Mytilus edulis: one gene and its partner. The protein of the gene in region 1 purifies or fractionates together with the protein of each later gene. This does not show direct contact. Links are inferred from orthologs where the notes say so. Each region holds a gene or a part of one and is shown in the gene's direction. Other genes may lie near its edges.

Region 1 (7,667 bases):
ATGGTTTTGTATGAACTAAAATTATTTGGTAATATTTTGGTATGGATGTGTTGTCTACCAATAGACTGTATTTACCTTGCTTATACTGATTACAAAATAATTCTTGTTAGTAGAAAAATAGCGCAATCTAGTTCATCATGAATATTCTAAACTATGATTTTCTTTGATATAAATACATCAACAAAGTTGGAAAACCTAAATGAAATCTATATCAAAAGTTAATATCAGCAAGGTCTTCGAGGAGTGAGATAATGAGTGTTTATAACCTATTTCTATGCCCTTGACCGTCTGTATGTACGTACGTATGTCCAAAAATTGGTTTCTGTTCTCTAACTTGAGTTTGCCTCAACCAAATATTATGAAACTTATACACAATGCTAATAACCTCAAAACACAGATCAAGTATCAATTTTGGTGGCGTCACTTTCTCCGTTCTAGAGTTCTGCCCCTTTCTTTATAAATGGAAAAATTGCTTAATTTTTGGAAAGATTGGAACTTGTTCTAAATCTTTCCTTAGGCACTGGCCTTCCTAACAACACAACAGGTTAGCTACTATTACTGCATGTATTCACTCTGAAATATAGTTCCCTATAGTTCTCATGTATTTGCACATAATACACATATAAACTGTGAAAAATGGGTATATTTTTGGAGCAGTTCATTCAATAATGTATGTAATTAAGGTGTGTTGATGTGCAGGCTTGTTTTAAGCATTTTGATTAGGTAATTGAGTATTGATACAATACTAGTATGATTGACAACTGTCATTATCACCAAACAATCAGGGACAAGGTGAACCGTAAATTACAATGCCCCACCTAAACTGTCAATCAAATTGACCACATTACATCAGTGTTACAAAATTGTATAGGCCCAATAAACATCTCAATACACAAATGTATATATTAAATGTTTGATATATAAGGATGATAGATTTATTTATTGCCTATTACTTTTGATCTACATTACATAAAGTGATTCTGTAAATTATGTCTGAAAGATAAATGATTAATTAAGGATTAATTAAGGATTAACACGATCTTTAAAAAAAAATGAAATATAAATATAAATATGAATATATAAAAGGTATTCAAGTTAGGCCTTTAATTTACTTGATAAATTTCCAATAATCATCTGTAATAAATCAACAATTTAGGTTAGTTCACTTTTTTTTTTATCAGAAATTGGCTTGATGAACAGTTTTAAAATTTTAAAACTTTTATTTATAACAAACCATTTTTTAGCTCACCTGGCCCGAAGGGCCAAGTGAGCTTTTCCCATCACTTTGCGTCCGGCGTCCGTCGTCCTGCGTCCGTCGTCGTTAACTTTTACAAAAATCTTCTCCTCTGAAACTACTGGGCCAAATCAAACCAAACTTGGCCACAATCATCATTGGGGTATCTAGTTTAAAAAATGTGTGGCGTGACCCGGTCAACCAACCAAGATGGCCACCACGGCTAAAAATAGAACATAGGGGTAAAATGCAGTTTTTGGCTTATAACTCAAAAACCAAAGCATTTAGAGCAAATCTGACATGGGGTAAAAATGTTTATCAGGTCAAGATCTATCTGCCCTGAAATTTTCAGATGAATCGGTCAATCGGTTGTTGGGTTGCTGCCCCTGAATTGGTAATTTTGAAGAAATTTTGCTGTTTTTGGTTATTATCTTGAATATTATTATAGTTAAAGATAAACTGTAAACAGCAATAATGTTCAGCAAAGTAAGATCTACAAATAAGTCAACATGACCAAAATGGTCAGTTGACCCGTTTAGGAGTTATTGCCCTTTATAGTCAATTTTTAACCATTTTTCGTAAATTAAAGTAATCTTTTACAAAAATCTTCTCCTCTGAAACTACTTGGCCAAATTAATCCAAACTTGGCCACAATCATCTTTGGGGTATCTAGTTTAAAAAATGTGTGGCGTGACCTGGTCAACCTACCAAGATGGCCGCCACCGCTAAAAATAGAACATAGGGGTAAAATGCAGTTTTTGGCTTATAACTCAAAAACCAAAGCATTTTGAGGAAATCTGACTGGGGATAAAAATGTTTATCAGGTCAAGAACTATCTGCCCTGAAATTTTCAGATGAATCGGTCAATCGGTTGTTGGGTTGCTGCCCCTGATTTGGTAATTTTGAAGAAATTTTTCTGTTTTTGGTTATTATCTTGAATATTATTATAGTTAGAGATAAACTGTAAACAGCAATAATGTTCAGCAAAGTAAGATCTACAAATAAGTCATCATGACCTAAATGGTCAATTGACCCCTTAAGGAGTTATTGCCCTTTATAGTCAATTTTTAACAATTTTCATTAATTTGGTAAATTTATGTAAATTTTTACCAAATAAAGTTCTCTGTTACTAATGGGCAAAGTTCATGATAGATATAATTGTAAGAAGCAAAATCGTTCAGTAAAGTAAGAACTTCAAACACATCACCATCACCAAAATACAATTTTGTCATGAATCCATTTGTGTCCTTTGTTTAATATGCACATAGACCAAGGTGAGCGACACAGGCTCTTTAGAGCCTCTAGTTATTAATTTATTCCCCATCAATCATTATACATGTCTATTTTAGTCATTTGAATTTTTATAAGAAGTGGATATATATTTTTGCTATCAAGAAAAATCTGCATTTCAATAAAATAAGTTTTTTAATTTGTTTACTTTGAAAAACTACATTTTCAATGCCCTGTGCTGAATAAATACTTTATAAATTGATCAAAAGGCACTCTACAACTTTTAATCTTTTAAAAATGTCATATAACCTATGCGTCAACTTACAAAATGCCCCAAAATGAAATTATTAGATTATATTTGTTGACACTTTAAATTTCAGTTGTTGGTCCTTAAAACATGTAAAAAACAGGCAACATTATTTGGATAAGATATTAACTGCAGTTTCAATAAAATTGTGCAAATTTAGAGACCCATATTATTTTATTTGAGCTCATTTTATCTTCATACTGGAAAAGCACTTTTATTCCTGCTAGAACCCTGCTGTTAATGCAATTTTCAGCAATACTGTTTTATTAATGTTCTTTTGTCCCCACCATACCTTTATATGAAATTGTTCAAACTACTCTTCCAATCTTTCCACAGGTGTTATCTAGCACTTTGATTAGTTTCCATTCTCTAACTTAAGTTTGCCTCGACCAAATGTTATGAAACTTATGCACAATGCTCATTACCACAAAACTCAGATCAAGTTTGAATTTTTGTAGAGTCAGTTTAACCGTTCTAGAGTGATGCCCCTTTATGAATTAAAAATTTGCTTAATTTTTAGTTTCCGTTCTCTATTAAATTAAGGTTTGCCTTAACCAAATGTTATGAAACTTATACACAATGCTTATTACCACAAAACGCAGATCAAGTTAGAATTTGGTAGCATCACTCAAATGGTTCAAGAGTTTTGCTCCTTTAAAAGTGGAAAATTGCAAAATTTTGAGTTTCCGTTCTCGAACTTTAAGTTTGCCTCAACCAAATATTATCAAACTTGTACACAAATAAGTTGGGTCACTATAACCATTATTGAATTATGCCCTTTATAAATGGAAAAAAATGCAAAATGTTTAGTTTCTGTTCTCTAACAAGTTGCCTCAAGCAAATGTTATGAAACTTGTACACAATGCTTATAACCACATAAACCTAAGTTTGCCTCAGCAAAACATTATGAAACCTATACACACTACTTATTACCACAAAACTCAGATCAAGTGCAATATGGGTCACTTTTATTGTTCCTGATTTATATCCCTTTATAATGTTGTATGCAAGCTGGGGCATTTATTAAAGAAGTTAAGCTACTGGGAAATTGATATATGGAAAATTGCAGTGAAAACCATTGCTTTTAGGATATTTAATTAAAAAAAATTAGGTTACCTCCTCCCCCCAAAAAAAGATAACTAAAATAATTGGGCGGTTTACCAGTCTAGCATGAACATCATGCCACAAAATGAACTCCAGTATAGAAGGCAATATTATATTGGGATAGGAAATGTGATTTATCTTATTTTCAAGATGGCAGAACTGGCTATTCTATATAATATACAATGAACATTGTATCACACAACAGTATTATACAAAGTGCACATCATACCACAAAATGAACATTATATTACAGAGTAAACATCATACAACAAAGTGAACATCATGTCACAAAATGAACATACAAAGTGAACATCATGCCATAAAATGAACATTGTTTCACTTAATAAACATGTCACTAAATGAAGATCATGTCACAAAATGAATATTACATCACAAAATAAACATTTAATCTCAAAATGAACATCATACAACAAAATGAATGCAATGCCACAAAATGAACATTCAAAGTGAACATAACACAAAATGAACATTAAATAAAAAATGACCATATATATCACAAAATGAACAATATATCACAAAATGAACATCATTTCACAAATGAACATAATGCCTCCAAAATGAACATTTAAAAATAAAAAATAAACACTATACTATATACTATCCCATAGCGAGTGTGTCTTAACCCTTTGATTTTACAGACAAACAATTATAGTATTTGTCTCGATAAATCTGATCGGTGATGGGCGTGATGATGATGAGCCAGATTTTGCCGTACGCCGGATATACTGATTGTTACAAGTAAGTGTAGCCTCATTATTCACACGTTTCCGGTTTGATCACAACAAAACTGACATCTGACATGTATTTCGAAAAACCTCTGTAAATCACCACAGGACTCTGTCATTTGATAAAAAGTCAACAATTTTATAAAATGCCACCAAAGTTCGTCAGACAACATGACAATATGGATTCTAACCGAGCCAGAAGCGCTGAAACGGTATTGTACATATAGCATCATCCAAGTCCAAAATGACTTTTTTTTTATGTCTGTTGTCATCTATCAGAAGAAAATAAAGCACTTTTCACTGTTTAAAACATTTTGAGTGTTGCACTTCGCCCTTCAACATTAGAAAACAATCAATCATGCATAAGACGGTCATCAAAATAACAATGTGTGACAGATCAAATGCAAGAAACCAATGTCAGGCAATGAGCACATGCACATTGTTTGTTTATATTTTTGCATAAATCCTTGTCTTGCTTTTTTTAGATCACTTTTATGTGTACAGTTCTTGCCAGGTTGTCTAATCACCTTCAAAAATGAGCTAAAAAACATCAAACCATTCAATAGAAAAAAATTAAGGCCTAATTTATAACAAAACCATTGATCATGTTGATGAAAAAAAACCAAATATTACAGACAAGAACCAATGAAAACCACTGAACTGCAGGGTCCTGACTTGGGACAAGCACATACATTTGTCAATAATGTGGCAGGTTTATTTATGTACATTGTAAATAATCTTTAACATATGCTGTTTGGCAACAAGGGTTATGGTTATTTTTCGAAAAAAATAATTCTGATACCCAATATGAAATGTATGATGAAAAATAATTATCTGGCCAAGCAGATGACAAAAAAAGTATTCTGAATCCCCCATACCTTACAGTATTAAAAATTGAAAAAAATTATTCGATTGATAGCTTGGAAAAGCTAGAAAAATAATTTTGAGCTTTGTAGATAAAAAAAAAATAACACCTCCTCTCCCCACCAACCTGAAGTTAAATGGTTGCTTATTTAGTCCTTAGTATGGGGTTTTGTGGACTTTTTAAAGTTAACTTTGCACTTAGATCTTATTTAAGGAATTTCCAATGATGTAGCCATAAAAATATCATTTAAAGCTTAACATCTAAGTATAATGGCCACCTGTCACACACTAATGATTTAATCAATAATTTCTCCACCTGACTCCAATCTTACCAGGTTTACATTGAACATCTAGTTCTATATACATATGTATATGTTTCTTCTCTATCTGAGTAAATGTCTAAAAATAAAAATCATCTAAGAATTTTAAGATGATTGATTGCTGGTTGCTTTATGTACAGTAGCAAATATTTCATGCTTTTCAAGAAGAGGAGAGGAAGGATTTTAAGATTGTAGACTTATGATTTAGTAAGACAGAATCTGAAATTGATAAAAAATGTGCCAGTCTATTTAAGTCAGTTTGGGAGCACCTCATCAAATAAGGAAGCCTTTTAAACAGATAACAGCCATACAGCATGAACAAAGACTTATATATTTTTTGTATTTACCACCAATTAAGTTACTGAACTAGTGACTTACAAATTTTTCCAATTGTGTGAAATTTTTTTCCAATTGTATGACATATGTTCAAGAATCTTTCATTTCTGTGTTCTTTAATTTTTAAGGTAGTTTTTCTCTATTAGTTATCTTTCTTAATTAGCACCCTCTGTTTCTCTAGATCTATATTATTTATGTTTTTTGACAATTTTTCTGTAGATTTGGTCCATTATTCTCTATTCTGTAAACTCCATCCAGAACCTCATGTGTAGATAATTATATATTGGTTGTGGAAACAACATGACAAACACATTGCTTATAGATAATACACATGATACAGAAAGCAAAAAAAGAAAGTTGAAAATTGTCATAGCACTATTTACCAGTCAATTCTGCGAACAAAATAATGTAAAATTGTCGCCCAGCACTGAAATTAATTTAGTGAGAAAAAAAATCAAGGTGTAATGAAGTAAAATGATACATTTCTAGTATAACCTACTGTGGATTCAGTAATTTTCATGGCTGTAGTAAAATTTGCATTTTCATTGATATTTGATTCAATGTTTAGCCAAAGTCTACATACAGACCTATATAAAATTTGAACTTCGTAGGACTTCAAATTCCATTGTTTACTTAAACCCAAAAAATCAACAAAATTAATAAATAAAAGACAATATTTATTATCACAAACACATTTACATTAACTGGTTATGGCATACAGTATTGAGACAATAAACTAAATTAATATCCTATCAATAAAAATGAATCCACTGTATATTAAGGGGGGGGGGGGGTGTCTCATCACGATTCACAAGTTGATTTTTTTGTCAATCACGATTCACAGAAAATAAATTTCCATGATCACGGATCAAGAAAATATTAAAAAAAAAATGTGTAGAAAATCGCATCACGATAGCGAAAGTGTGCCGATCACGAAGAAGGAAAATAACCCATCAGACCCCTCACCAATTAGTAACCTGTGACAAAATTCTTACATATTTCAGCCTTATTAGACATATATATGGTTGAGTTACCTGATAATCCAACAGCTTGGTTTGTTGTCTTGTGTTTCTTCAAAGCAAGTCAGTCCTCATTTGGACCACACTTTTACTTTACTTCTACACAACATGTATATGTGTAATATATACCATTATTTATTTTGCAGAGAGCACTTCTTGATGGAAATTCAGATGAAGAAGATTTCTTCTTGAAGTGAGTTTTTTCCTGTAGCATTTACATGATGAGTAGCAATAGCGTAAAGTATAAAATATATTGCATAGCATTGCAATCTCTTCTGGGTTCCTTTTGCTAGTTTAACCCCTATTGCATCAAAGGTATAACCTCATCTTGTTAATAAAAACAAATGAGCAATTGTTGCTTATTATAGAATTACTGTAGTCCTATAGCATGTAAAGTAAGAAGTAAAAATAAACAAGCTTAGTTTAAAGTATTTGATAATTTATTTTCTTTATGTATCTCACTGGTAAATTCTAATGTCTCAAAATATTGTTATACATGCATGTATG
Region 2 (7,596 bases), on another chromosome or scaffold:
GGTCTATTTTTCTTAAACTATAAGTAATGTGTCAACTATATATGTTGTATAGAAGCATTGTTAGCTGTACCTGTCTGCCTGGCATGGTTCATCTGACCTGGACCTCTTTTTCAAGGTTCATTGGTCTTTGTTTAGTTATCTTGGTTAATGTTAAGTTCATGTGACAGTTGTAATAAAGCTTAGCTTTATACTTAGGACCATCAACATAATATCAATGATTAGTATAGAAGGCGAGACATTTCAGCGTGTGCACTCTTGTAAAAAGAAACCATTATAGGGCAAACTATGGTCTTCAACACAGAGCCTTGTCTCAACCAAACAGAAAGCAGTAAAGGGCCCCTAAAATGACAGCGTAAAACCATTCAAACAGGAAAAGCAACGGTCTAATCTATATAAAAAAAGAGAAACAGGAAACACTTATGAACCACAACAAACGACAGCCACTGAACATGTGGAGTTGATTTCACAAAAAAACTTACGACTAAGATTGATCGTAAGTATACTGATTTGTTCATGACCTAAGACAAATCTTAGTTGTAAGTTTTTAGGTGAAATCGACTCCATGTTTCTGACTTAGAACTGGTGCAAGTTTATCAGGAGATTTCAAGAATTTTATGTTAAATGCAGATGAAAAGAATACAAGAATGCTAATACAACACGCTGGTGATTTGCTGATACTTTCCAGTTTTAATAAGTCTTGTGTATATAGGACAAGATCAAAATATCAATGAATCCATTTGATAGATCTATTTAATTTTGTTGACTTGAATGATGAGAAGTGTGAGTAAGAACTGTTGTGAGGGTGACACAGTAATGTGTGAGGCACCAGTGTAAACATCCCATTTTCAAGATGATATGGCTGCACATTCAAATGTCAAAGTGAATGAGTGGCTTCAGTTCATTAGTGGTTTAAGTACATCAACAACTTTATCACTGGCCTGTCAACATTGAGGTTGTGAGTTGCCACCCTACCTGGTGGCAGGTGCGTTTAATTCCATTCTTGCACTCTGGCTTCCTTCAATAAAACCTGACTACCACAAAATAGCCAAATATGTTGAAAGTGGCATTAAACACTAACAACAACAATTAATTAAAATAAAGGGCTGTCAATAAGGATTTAAATGTCAATGAGAAAGCTTAGTTCTATTATATGATTTTCTTAACCATATTTCACACATTTGGTATCAAAATTCCAAAAATATAAATCTAATAGGAATTTTAAAAGGGGAAGGGAAAGGATAATCTAGTTAAACATCTTAGCTCAAAACTCAAGCCTGCATCAACTAATCCTTAGATTTTTTTTAGGTCTCATCTATGAAAGTAGAGGGACATAATATTATTCTTTCTGGTCTGTCTTGATGTTTTGGTCACACAAATTCAGTACACATGTTTATTGTGATGTTACTTTTTATAGAATATATGCAAAATTATGATATTTACTCACATTTTCAGAATCACTAGATAAAGAGAATAGATAGTATATAAAAGGCATGGTATCCTATGGATGCATATTGTTGTTCCATTATGCTATGATTCCTAAAATGGGCACAATTTGTATTACTGTGTCATTGGTCTAGCTGAGAAGGGTTGCCGTTACTCCTTTCCCTTATGTTAACAATTAAATGCTATAAATACAGAACATCAAAACCTTTTTTATAACTTGTAGAAAATAACAGTATTTACAGATTGTGAGGTTGTCATAAAACTGCACGAGATTCTGTTAGAAAATTTGTCAAACATATGCAAGTCTTCTTACTTCCAAGGGTTTGTGTTGTCAGAAGCATGGCACAACTGCCTCATTAGATGTTTTACACCCAAACAAATCCAGAGAAAGAAGGGAAAAGTGTTTACATTTTCCATTATATAGTTTAAAGATGGTGATTTTAATCATTGACTTCTTTATACCCTGTGGCTAAATTTCTGTCCCTATCCAATACAGTTCATTTTCAGTGAAGTCTCAAATTTCCTTACCCACTCTATTGCAGGAGCTCAATTGCATGACCTAACTATTGCATCTATGTATTTTTTAAACGTTGGAAAATCATGAAATATTTGTCACTGGACGTAAAGCAAACAACAATCAATCAATATTCCTTAGTCTAAGCACAAAGACAGATTGCTAACCTTTTAGCAAAGATTTGTAGGGTGCAAGATTGAAGAAGACAATGTCTGATGGTTTTGGACAAAAAGACAACTTAAGAGGCTCCAAGGGCCTATGGTTGCTCACACAGCTCTATATGCATCCTCAACAATGCACATTGTAGACTGGAAAAGAACACATGACAAAAATCTTCGTTTATGTTGATGTAGTGCTGATAATTTATTTTCTGTTTACAGTTTCTCTCTATCTTCTTTATTGTATTGCCAAATTCACAAAAAGAGTAAGAAAAATCATCATTAAATCATTGTCACTCCTATAAAAAGGCTACGATTTCAGTAAAATTTGACTAGTTTGTAAATCTGGTCTTGTTAATTGATAATTTTATGTAAAGTTTCTATATATATCTTTTTGAAATTTCATTAATTAGGCAAAAATCTTTATGCTGGCTGAGACTACTATAACACAGTTATAGTAGTCTCAGATGCTGGTAATCTTTGCTATTTATTAAACTTGTCTATAGATCTATCCTAATAGTTTTCTCGATGAAAGAAAGATCACTTAAAATGGCCATGGGTTAATTCGTCATTCAGCCCTGTTGATTTGTCTTTCTATAATGAGCTTAATCATTTTTGTCTCGCCTGCGACGAAAGTCTCAGAAGGCTAGACATAGAAGTTGCTTTACCTGCATTGATGGAACTTCCTATCAAACTGTCTCCGAACTCTATGTGATAGATCGATAGTTTGTATGAAGTTTGACGACTATTTTGAGGCGCTGTCCCTAGGTCATGGTCAAGTGACTGGATTAATTAGCAATTTCCAATGTTAAGTTTTCTGCTTATGTTAAAATTGAAAATGACAAATTACAAAGTAATGGACCTAGTCCTAGTTTAGTTTAGTTTAGTTTAGTTTAGTTTAGTTTAGTTTAGTTTAGTTTAGAAAAAAGGCTGAAAAATTAAAGAACTAAAAAAAGGAAGGACCACATCAAGATCCTGCTCATATCTGTACATTTTATTTTAATATGCATTCAACCGTTTTGTATTTTTTTACCAGCTAATACTGCAAGATGATTCTCGGCACTTTGTTCATGAGCGTAGCCTAAATACAAGCGGATTCCTGTTTATTTAAATAACTCATTTATTTCCTTTGACCAGGCTTTGAAGAAGACATTTTCGAAGGAAGAACTAAGGTTTACTTTCGACCTCATTTAGCCCATTTCATCATGTCAGGCATTGTCATTACTCAAAACCATTAAATGTCTTCTGAATCAATTTCGTCTTTAAATTCTAATGATACTGAGAAGATCCTTTACTAATTTTCAGTTTTTGTGGACAAAGGAACATAAATACATTGTGGAACCTTACAAATAGTACAATGTATATGCATGCATGTTCTTAGATACCATCTCCCATATCCAAATCACATCATGCAGAAATCAGTGGCGGATCCAGAACTTTTTATAAGTTAAATTCTCCCTCGCCCTGCTCGTCCGAATTTAAAGTATTTAATTTCTAATTCAATAGGCTATAAACAAGACAAACACAGATATAGGATTAGTTGCTCGCAGTAACATCTTATTTTCTCTTGCGATACAATATTTTATTTTACTGAATTGTACATATTTCTTCAATCGAAACATTATATAAACACATGACATATAACATTGTTCCTCTTTCGCATCGTTTCTTTTCCCCCGGCTAATGCCTCCAACGCCTGTACGTACAATAAACATAGCAGCAACTGCACATATACCTATGTGACCAACTTCAATCCGACGTAACTGCGAGCACCTTCGATACTAATACATTTAAATCCCAAACTTTATATAGTACCTTTAAACCCCACCCATAAAAACCGCCAAAACTTTCCTCGTGCCTCCTGCACCTAACATCAAACATATAAATAGTACATACTGTTACAAAACCAGTATCCGAACTAGTTATACTAGTTCCCATCTGTAAATATTAACTACAAATAGCAAACGGGAAAAACCCTATTTCAAACGAAATAAAATACATGTACCACTGACAGCCATAAAAGTTTCCCACGGTCAGTCATGATTTGTGATTCCCTGTATAATCAACCATATTTTCCACTCGAAAGGGCCGAGTAGCCCCCCCCCCCCCCCCCCCCCCCCTCCCAACCCCTGGCACCTGGATCTGCCTATGAAAATCAAGGATCTTACTATACAAAATTTAATTCTTGTGGAAATGTATCTAATGTGTTCCTCTCCTAGCTATCCAAAACCAATAAACGACGCTGCTAAATGGTTAGTGTCTGGTACAGGTAGGCCGTTATTATGCAACATATTTTAATAAAGAATCTTGTGGCAAGAACAAAGAACTCTTATTGTCAGAAAACACTGTCAAACATCTAAACATACTATCCACACTGATCTGTGTCCACACTTGTTAATTTATTTATATCCATCCCGAATTTTTTCAGTATTTAGAATGATCACATGACTGTCATGTCAAAATGTCTTCTGAAAAGTTTGAGTCACTCGAGGACGATTTGTCAAGTGTTTTGGATAGCATAAGAGACAGAGTCGAAGGGAAAATCCCAAATTTTGAGGGAGGTTGTAAATATATATTACTTATTGTTTTACAATTTCCTAATATCTATCTGAGACTACTAAATGCAGACATCACTGCATTCTGATATGTTGTAAAGTCCGAGACTGAGTCAGAGTTGGGTTCACAAAACTGTCAAAGGTCTACATAGTCCGAGATTACTCTGACGTCCAACGGCTGTTTTGCCAGACAAGTCCCACGGCCCCAGCTTGTCTGGCAAAACAGCCGTTGGACGTCAGAGTAATCTCGGACTACGGTCTACATAATACTTCTTAACTTCAATATGTTGAAGATTACAAAAAGGCACATACTAGGGGGTAGTAGTATTTAAATCTGAACATATTTACATATAAAAAAAAAGAAGTTTTTTTTGTTTTTTTTTTAAATATTTTATTTATATATTATAGATGATTTTGATCTAGCAATGTATTTGTGATTTTGCACCAAATTTAAATGCTTCTAAGTCTTTGCTACTTGGTGTAGCAAGAAATTCCACAACCTAATTGTTCTAGGGAAAAAATAAATATAAAATTATGCAAGACTACACGTATGTATGGGGACAATACACCTTATCGCTACATCTACATGGATAATCCGTAAAGAGTCAGTTGACTCATCACACGAATATGTCAAAATTAAAGTTGTGTCATCCAAAATGTGTTTTCTTTTAAAATCATATGTACAGGTGCTATTCCCCACTGACCTGAGAATCTATCTCGCTTGACCTGTTGAAGTCATACAACAATCACTTCTCCATTGTGGCATCAGATATTTTGTATTATCGCACCACAGGTAAATTAGCACATTGTGATTGGTATAACGCCGTCACCTGGTGACCCCTTAGGCCTATGGATCCGTAGGGGGTTAGTAAATTTCAAAGGGGGTTCGTGACGTCACGTCTACTGTTAATGGTGACTTCATCTATTAATGTTGATGTGTTTCATTGCTTATTTTTCTACAAAACGCAGCAGAAAAAGTCCAGCGTGCGACAAACCATATAACTTATTTCATGACATCAAAATTTTACGGAAACCTGTGTAATGTTCAGTAATGGTGGACAAATAGCGATAAGGTGTATAACAATCTCGTCCCACAATGCACCTTACAATTTACAGTAAATATAATGAAGTTACTGTTAAATCTATTTATAATATCTTACCTGTAGAAAGATTAAAAGAAGCAAACAATCAATTTCATTAAAATAAGGTCTTTTATCCAGGGATGGGGTAATTGAAAATGTAATGGTAATTAAGTGTAATGCATTACAATTTTCCATGTAATTGAAGGTAATGTGTAATTGAGCATTTTTTCAATTACTTGTAATGGTAATTTAATTAATTACAATGAAAAAAGCATGTAATGCTCAATTACTTTTGAATTACATTTCAATTACATGTACTTTTATGGTGTCTATGATAAGGATTTATGTTTAATAATATAAATTGTAAAATTATATTTATTTTTCAAATATTGATATCACATACTTTCTGTAATTTATTCTTAAGTTTTTATATTACTTATTTGACCAACAGAATTTTTTTTAAAGTTTTATCATCATTATAAAATTTCATTTGGCATTTGAATCGGGAAAATATTATGTTTTGGAACAATCGATCTGTACATAATAGCATATATATATATTGTATTGATTAAATATAGTTTTGACAATTATTTTTATTTTTCTCATGTTCTTATTTTTTGACAGAGGAGAAAAAAACAGCCATTCGCCATGCAGAAAGAAATATTGAAGAAGCAAACTTCATTGTAAGTGTAAACTGGTTAAAATATCTTGTCAATAATTTCCTGTTTACAGTGAATACTTCATCTACCATTTTGCTGCCACCATCAATAAACTGAATATATAGAAAGCAAAAGTTCAATGTTCAACTTGTAAATATGTTGATGTTTACAGTCTACAAATATTTTTTTCATCAAAATATTTATGAATGAAAAACACAAATGTTGACCAAAATAAATGAATACATAGTACATGAATTAATTGTGCAAAGTTTATGTAAACAGCAGAAAATATTGCCGTAGTTTGTTGTCAAGAAAAAAAAATATATAAAAAAGAAGATGTGGTATGATTGCCAATGAGACAACTCTCCACAAGAGACCAAAATGACACAGAAATTAAAAACTATAGGTCACCGTACGGCATTTAACAATGAGCCAAATAGTATATGATTTTAAAAGGATAATTAACATAGTTACAGCCGATTCCATTGAGTGTGTAGGCAAAGTCAATATGTTTGGTTAGCTTGCTTGCCAGCTGAACAGTGAAGTCATTATTTGGTCAGGTAAACTACCCTCCTTTAAAATTAGACTAGTCTGAAAGATTAACAATCTATCTGTCTGTAGGACTAGGCTACTTCAAAAGGAGTGTAGTATACCTTACCTAATAATGACTTCACAGTTCAACTAGCAAGCATGCTAACCAAAGATATTACCTTTGCCTACACACTCAATGGAACCGGCTGTTCTAGTTTTTTTTAATAAACTGAAGTATTTTTTCTAAAATTATTACAAAAAATTCTAAAAATCAAATATTCTAAAATTTCAGATGGGTGTGGATTAAATCATCAGAGTAAAAGATAAAACCAAAGTTTAATCCATATTTTTGGTATTACATTTCAGTTACAGGAAATGGAAAGTGAAGCAAAGATGGCTCCTATTTCTTACAGATCTCAACAAATATCCAGAATACGTAACTACAGACATGACTTAGATAATATAACAAAGAATCTGGTAAGTTCCAATTGATGGTAATAACAGTAAATAATACCTGGTGAGGATACAGAATTTGATGTTAGACATAATGGTGGGGGTGTACCTGAGAATGTTAAAGAAACTTAATTTGACACAAGATTGTCACTTAATAAACTATAAATTACATTTTTGAAGATGAATTTTGTGGCCTGGAAA

The links.
Region 2: the proteins of vesicle-associated membrane protein 4-like (region 1) and vesicle transport through interaction with t-SNAREs homolog 1B-like purify together in Homo sapiens (affinity purification with mass spectrometry; 4 studies listed by BioGRID and IntAct, counting the BioPlex papers as one, with this or other methods). This does not show direct contact. The link is inferred for Mytilus edulis from reciprocal best matches to the Homo sapiens genes VAMP4 and VTI1B.

What each region holds. Positions count from the first base shown.
Region 1 is NC_092345.1:21,932,209-21,939,875, forward strand, and holds the start of vesicle-associated membrane protein 4-like, read left to right. Parts: upstream 1-4,641; 5' UTR 4,642-4,767; coding exon 4,768-4,833; intron 4,834-7,306; coding exon 7,307-7,353; intron 7,354-7,667. UniProt on the Homo sapiens protein: Involved in the pathway that functions to remove an inhibitor (probably synaptotagmin-4) of calcium-triggered exocytosis during the maturation of secretory granules.
Region 2 is NC_092346.1:5,321,442-5,329,037, reverse strand, and holds the start of vesicle transport through interaction with t-SNAREs homolog 1B-like, read left to right. Parts: upstream 1-4,540; 5' UTR 4,541-4,576; coding exon 4,577-4,676; intron 4,677-6,376; coding exon 6,377-6,435; intron 6,436-7,308; coding exon 7,309-7,419; intron 7,420-7,596. UniProt on the Homo sapiens protein: V-SNARE that mediates vesicle transport pathways through interactions with t-SNAREs on the target membrane. These interactions are proposed to mediate aspects of the specificity of vesicle trafficking and to promote fusion of the lipid bilayers.